2 linked regions of the Mytilus edulis genome follow. The protein of the gene in region 1 purifies or fractionates together with the protein of each later gene. This does not show direct contact. Links are inferred from orthologs where the notes say so. Each region holds a gene or a part of one and is shown on either strand. Other genes may lie near its edges.

What was found. Proteins that work in one complex are often made in the same cells at the same time.
Region 2: the proteins of cyclin-F-like (region 1) and cell division control protein 6 homolog purify together in Homo sapiens (affinity purification with western blotting; 4 studies listed by BioGRID and IntAct, with this or other methods). This does not show direct contact. The link is inferred for Mytilus edulis from reciprocal best matches to the Homo sapiens genes CCNF and CDC6.

The regions. Positions count from the first base shown.
Region 1 is NC_092352.1:40,408,418-40,412,179, forward strand, and holds the start of cyclin-F-like, read right to left. Parts: upstream 2,674-3,762; 5' UTR 2,542-2,673; coding exon 2,517-2,541; intron 2,289-2,516; coding exon 2,119-2,288; intron 1,844-2,118; coding exon 1,737-1,843; intron 1,436-1,736; coding exon 1,368-1,435; intron 785-1,367; coding exon 594-784; intron 147-593; coding exon 1-146. UniProt on the Homo sapiens protein: Substrate recognition component of a SCF (SKP1-CUL1-F-box protein) E3 ubiquitin-protein ligase complex which mediates the ubiquitination and subsequent proteasomal degradation of target proteins.
Region 2 is NC_092357.1:50,690,229-50,693,990, forward strand, and holds the start of cell division control protein 6 homolog, read left to right. Parts: upstream 1-1,474; 5' UTR 1,475-1,640; intron 1,641-1,916; 5' UTR 1,917-1,924; coding exon 1,925-2,054; intron 2,055-3,762. UniProt on the Homo sapiens protein: Involved in the initiation of DNA replication. Also participates in checkpoint controls that ensure DNA replication is completed before mitosis is initiated.

The DNA of each region.
Region 1 (3,762 bases):
TATTTCTGTTGCCAGAACATAAATGCTGCCACGCCTGATCCAAGTTCAGCGCCATCCTTCAGATACTGGAATATCTCTGTTTTATCTTCTGATTCCAGTAACATTAATGTCCTAGCTACACATACATGGATATTTTTGTCTTTTGTCTGAAATAATCAATATTCAATGTTAAAGGTTATTGATTCAATTGTGTCATTTGATTTATATTCAAAAGGCACATTCAGTGCTGATAAAATAAATGTTTTACAACAATAATTTTGTAGAAAGATACTACCTCATTGACAATTATCGTAAATCAACATTCATTCATATTTGACTTATTTCCCCTTTTGTGTCATTAACTCAAGAAAAATAAAATGCAAAAAATCAGATTTTCCAAAATTAAAGCAAGCTGATTATATGTTTAAAATGTCCATCATACTTTTCCCCATACTTAAAAATGGTTTGAAAGGTGTTTCACAATAATTAAACCTTATGTCATGAAACTGTAAACATCTCAGACCATTGTCATGAAAATTTCAGTTAATCCTCTGGTCAATTTTGGTCGCAAGATTTTTTTTTAGTAATGCGCTGCTGGTATTATCATTCCTTACCGTTTTAATAAAATCTTTCATGTATTTGAAGACACATTCTTTGCAGCAAGCACCATTAACAGACCATGGCGGTCGTATAAACAGCCATGTAAAAGGATCTGTGTTTGGACTTAGTCCTTCAATTCTACAAAATATATCTGCTGCCTTCTCTCCATTGTTGATGGTCTTCTTTCCTTCCAAATCGGTAGGTACTGAAACAAAAAATTAAATCATATATAATTAAGCTTTCAAAGTATTATTTCATTATCTTTTACTATTAGCACACAAAAAAATTAATTTGTTTTCTTGATTTGGAATTGTTTCAGAAACCAGAACAGACCGGTATGGTATTTTTGGTCAGAGGAAATAGATGAGGCAAAACTAAAAATTATGTGTTGATTGTCTTTAACCTAAACTATAATATTTATTTATTTAGTTTTTCAAACCCTATGTGCATATTTCTTAATTATAGCTTGTACATAAAAACAGCTCTACCATATTGCTTTTCTTTTTTAATCTAATCATGAATTGTTTGTTTAATTGATTTAAGTTACATTTTCTTTTCATCTGTTCATTTTCTTTTGTCAAAACTCTGTTTGTTATAACAAAAAAATATAAATGAACCTGCTATTTTACGTCATACATTGTACAAGTTTTTGTCAGAAGAAATTAACACCTTTATATATAAAATCAACAAAGGGAAGACAAATTTACATGTTCATTTCACACCCCATGTCCTGCGTAAACAAAAAGGACAAATATATAAATAACTTTGTGATAAAAAGGTCTACTTACATCCTTCATTATAGAGGTAGGCAATGGCCATTTTGATCAATGCTTCAAGATTTCCCAAATCTCCAGCTCTGAAAAAGAAACGAGGGTTTAATATATATACAGTGAATCACTACAGCATAATAATTTTAATAGAATAAAACTAAATTATGAACTTGAAACATCAAAATTTCTTTCTATTAATCTATGTTACATATATCTTGAAATGTGTATTCATATGCATACTCTGTCATTTCAACCAGAGTATAGGGGAATGAAACAACATCATCATGTGTAGGTGTAAAAATAACTCATTGCATTGCAAGTCTTCATCATGACAGTTGCTGATGCAGTGTTTGTACTCAAATTATAAACTAGTTCAATGATACTTACTTCTCAAAATGTGGAATGTTTTTCAGTGACGGCCATTCATCTTGAAAACTTGTGGAATTCCAGATCACAGAACTGTTTTCTATTAAATCTTTAAAGTATGGGTGAACCTGGGGAAAGAAAACACTAGTTATTTCAGAACTACTTAAATTGTTATTATTTGTTTTATGTGAATTAATACATAAATATTGAGTCAATGTAAGCAAAATTCTATGCATTCTTACAAAATGATATGAAATTGAAAAATAAATAATAAAAATATTTTGAAAATTTAAACTAACTCTTAACTAACTAAAGTTTTGTGACATGTATCTGAGATGAAGCAGACTATTTGTTGTTGTACATAAAATTAAATCACAATATTATAAAAATATACTTTACTTACAGCTCTCAAATTAAGAACATCTCTGATGTGTAATCCTTTAATAATATACAGCAAAAGTTCTTCAGGTAAATTCCATATTGTCATCTGACTCCGTGTTCTTGGACGAAGATGCATGTGGACTGGGATAAATGTGTTTGGAGACTTTTGAAATTTGCTGAGTGCATTTAGAACTGTAAAAAAATAATGAGCATACATGTAAATTGGTTACAACGGGAAATATGCATGCATGTAATTTAAGTATTAAGTGATTTTGCTGTAAAAAATAAACATTCATAGAATTCTAAAACTTTAAAATTTAATTTTAGCACTTGAATTACAAATGTACAGTAAACATTTGATGCATTTTCATAATTTTACAATGTTGCTATATTTTGATTATGAATTATAAAAGTACTTACGAATTTTTACAAACATGGTTTTCATATAAGGAATGTCAGTTATGATAAAGTTCAAATAAGATCCACATCAAGTATAAGTTATGCAAAATTATCATGAATGTTGAAAGTTTATTTTTGTCATTGAAACATCGATACCGTGAACCTACCATTTATTTTTAGTAACAAGCAGGGTGTCCCCGCTTTTGATTGGTTGTCAATGTAAACAAGCCGGCACTTGCAAAGGTCGATAACCAATGAGCGATTTGAAAATAAACGTGTTTCAATGACACTAATGAATGCTATTCATAATTTATTTAGCACAAGTCTGAACATATTCATCGTCGTATACACCTGTTATCAACTAATAATTAGATAGGTAAAAGTGTTTGATACATGTGATAACAAGAAATCAATAAAACAATAAAATTGTTCGATGAATATCAAACATGTTTATCATTTTGTCTTCGACAGTTCGACTGGACTGGAGCCAGTGGATGTCAGTTCACAAGTTTTCGTCACTTAACATTCTATATTCTTGCAAATGGCACGTCAAGTATGTTACAATGACCGTCAATCACTTTGTTTACCATTTAAATTTACGATAAGCCTACTCAAATTTGGATCACAAGCTGGACCCTTCCTGCATTTGACTGCTTGATGAGTAAACAGAATGCACTCGTCTTTGATGGACTATTGTGATTACTTAAATCTTTATATATCATTATATGGATACGAAGAAACATTTTCATTACCCGAAAAAAATGGATTTTATTATTTTTATCGTGAAAGTTGTAGAGTTCAAATGTTATGATGCATTTTCAGTAACATCGTTTATAACAAAATTAATTTTTGAAACACGCCTTGAAGAAACCGTTATTGAATAGCACATTTAACTCTTCTTTTCCAAAAAGATCTATTTTCTTATGTTGTTATTACTTTCCATTGACAAACTTTCAAAAATTTAAACCGCCCATAATATTTGCCCTGTTATGACCTTTCACTTTCTTTTCTTTAATTTTTATAAATGGCATTTTTTATTGAACATGTAACTTACCTTTCATTACTCTGAATTGCTATAAATTTCATAAATTTAGGCATAAATACGTTATCCAAAAGTTTAAACTCCGAAAAAGTGATGCACCCTATCTTGTCAAAATTAAACACCAACAATCCGAATATACTCGACGCTGATTGGTCAAAATTGTTACACTCGTTTACAAACGAGAGGAAATGGGCTTTCCCCGCCTTTGTGATGTTCATTCAAATA
Region 2 (3,762 bases), on another chromosome or scaffold:
GGTTTGATTTTAGAAAAAAAAAATGAAAGCTTGAATGTTCGTTCTCATTAAAACAGTTACACGCTTCCATAAGTTGCAAGTATATCAATTGGTAAACAAGCTATTGTTTTCTTATTATTAAGTCTGGTCATGCATTTTCCTCAGTTCACGATCAAAATAATACGTTGTCTAATCTTTCACGATCAAGTCGATGAAAAATCAACAAAATTCAAGGTTTTCATGAACAAATGAACGGTTTCAATGGAAGAGCATACATGTACTTTTATTTTGGTCACACCAAAGATTAAGTTTCAAATATATCATGATATATTGGAATGCGACCATAAAAGGTACAAAAATTCGTGTGATTTTTTTTAATGAATCCCTTAGACATGTATTGCGCCTTTTGTGTTTTTCTCATGAAGTACTGCATATTTTCTTTATCTTCTTGCACAGTATTGTTGATAAAGTTGAATCATTTTGACAGACATATTTGTTTTTTCTGATTTATTCCGCGTTTTAGTTTTTTCCGGCCACATATTTTGAGGTAGAATTTAAATTTGATTTCGATCTGGTACCAGATCTTTCACGATCATGGCCAAACCAAACTTAATGCTTGCCCACCCTAAGGTATTCAGGCTTTAACGATCAATTCTCTCGATAAACCGAATGACACCCGTGATAAAAAATTAACATATATTTTCAGAGATATCATATATTCTTGATCCTAATCATTTCTAAAAATAAGCAAATTACATAACTTTAAACAGAGACATATAAAAACCAGATTTTAAATATGTAATTACATGATCTAACCTCCGGCAAAATGAAATACAATGTAGACGTTTATTCCCAAATTTCAGTATTGTCCTTTTGAACTGAGATAATTATAAACAGTTATCTAGAAGTCCCAGTTTTACAACTGACTAGTAATGTTTTTTGTTTATATGCTACTTGACTTTTATCTTTTAGAAAGAAATTGCATTTACATGCAACGCCTTTCTACAAAATGAATGAAACCCAAATTCAACGGATTTCGGCACATTTTCAACCATTTATTTTTTAAAGAGTCAGTATTGCAAAATTTCCAGGGAGAGCACACAAATATTCAAAGATGATGCAAACAAAAGTCAACTTTAATAAAAGAATATAAAATATATGACTAATTAAAAGCATGTGAAATTTCCCCAAACATTCGTCTTCAATGTCCTTAATTCAATGTCATATATATATGTTTTAAAAAATCAAATTTAATCCATTTTAAATATATCACCAATATATTTCTTTTATCAATGAAGTATTTAAATGTTAGTTTTTATTTAAAAAAAGACTTCTCTTTATAAATATGGAAGCTGGGAGTTCTATATCACAATCTCTGTGTTATAGTCGTCTCAGAAGAAAAATACGTCTCACCAGGTATGCTACGACTCTGTACAATAGTTAACAAAAATATTACTTTTCATGACCAATCAAATCGCTTCATACATAAATTTCCCGCCAACTTTGTTTACCTTTCTTTATTGTGTACATCCTACTGGATCATTGAACATAAAACAAGGGAAGTGTCCGTACCAAGCGTTGTCATAACTGGTTTAAGATTATATGAAAGTATTATTGATGATTAGCAAGCACTGAAACTAACTGTCCAGATAACAAATACGGTAAATAACAGTTTCTTTATGTGGCAGAAATATTTTGACTCATCAGATATCATCAATGATCAGCGGGTTGCAAAGCATTTTTTGATCTTCTGTCAAAATATTGAATCAATTGTAGATAATTGGTCATTGCTATTTTGTACTTCTTTATGGGAAAGCGTTCATCATCGTGATAGAATTCCCAAACCGAACAGTGGCATGATGGATATGGATGTTTGATTAATGAAAGGGGGCACTGAAATGTGATATTGAAATTTATTGTTTCTATTAAAATTTCAGGCTAAGGAATGTCTGCAATTGTTCAGAGAAAATTAGAATTTCCTGTAAGAAAGTCAACTCGTCTTAGAAGTTCTAAAGATGCAGATAGTCAAGAAAATTCAGTGAAACCAGAGTCCCCAAGAAAAAGAACAAAAGAAGGTATATACCATGGATGTGTGTAAAACTATATAAGAAAGACGATGAATACTTGAAGGTACAGGATTTACACAGTCAGTTCAACAGCCTGTCTGTCTAATGGGGACAAATTCCTAAGTTGATTGTCCTTCAATACACCATATCGCTATTTAGTCCAATTCGGGAAAAACAGTCATTTATACATCTTGCTGTTTGGGTCAAGCCACTGAAAATAGAGGTCATTAGTAGTGAGCTGAGGGAGGAAAAACTTTAGAAAGCGATCATCTAGAAACTTTGATAGAGTATGATCCTCTTTTTCGAAATTAAAATTAAAGTAGAAAAATATTTTGTTTGAAGTATTTACAGTAGTTTAAAAAGGTCTCATTAAAAAGTATCATGCATGGTGAATTGTTTAAACAGGGTCCCAGATAGCTTAAACTGGATGAAAAAGTTGTGTAATTTTAGAACTTATCCGGAATGGAATGAATAGCTATTAGGTGTATTGTCAATGATTGAGTTAATCATCACAGGAAAATGCTAATCAAAGTTTTCCTAGTTATGCCCCTCAGTGTTCTCCCCAGAAATTTTGGATAGCATCACATTTTGCGTAGAAAAAAATAACTATTATTTTTAATGTCGTTGGCGCGTTGCGTTGATGCTCTATTTCCTTTATATGTTTTAGTTTATATTGTTCAATTCATAACTGAGAATACAATTAAACTATAACTACAAAAACAGTTGTTTCAGTTCATGTTTTCTTTATTCATTTATAGTTACAGAATTTTTTTTTTTCCTCTTGTGCCAAATAAAAATAAATATGTGTTTTCAGTTACCCAACAATAAGTCATCGAAAAATGCCTGTACCAAGTCAGGAATATGACAGTTGTTATCCATTCGTTTGATGTGTTTGGACTTTTGATTTTGCCTTTTGATTTTTGATTTTCCTTTTTGAATTTTCCTCGGAGTTCAGTATTTTTGTGTTTTTACTCAAATGAATGAATGGTTCATTATAGATCAACCTGTATATATACAAAACTAAATATATAGTACACAAAATTAACTATTTTTATATTATATCAAGTAAAGATAAAGTAGCAAAAAAAAAATCAATTTAAAAACTTTTTTTTATCATGTTTATGAAATTCATTGTTTCATGGCACTCAATGAATTAGTCCCAGTTGTTTCTTATCTTTACATCAAAATGATATGTATTTTTAACAAAGTTATCTAACAAATAGTCTGTTAATGCGTAGTTTTCTCTCTTGGTATATTTTTTCTGTCTACTGTCCATCTGTTGTCATTATCGTGAAAATGCGGATTTTTGTCATATCTGTTCCGGTTCCGATCCGTAGTTTACACACTAATGTGCAATGGCGGCCGTAGAAAAATTTACGAAAATTAGTCCGAGAATAAACATTGTTTGACAAGAGATTGTGAATGAATAAGACGCTTTTAATGTATTAAATGGATTAAACATAAACTTAAGCCAATTATGATAACTTTTTAAAGAAGTATTAAACTTATTTTAGCTCTAAACCAAAATTCTCGCTCTCGTATTACCGGAAGAGAAAGAAAGTAATTTTTGGAGAGTTGCACAAATAAACGACCTTTTAAAAAAAAAAAATCGTTTCAATCTTTGAAATTTCGTAATACAAAACGTAGATTTCGAATTGTTTTGTGATTGTCTTGTCTTGGCGAAATTGGCGATTGCAGACACGTGGTATTAGTCATG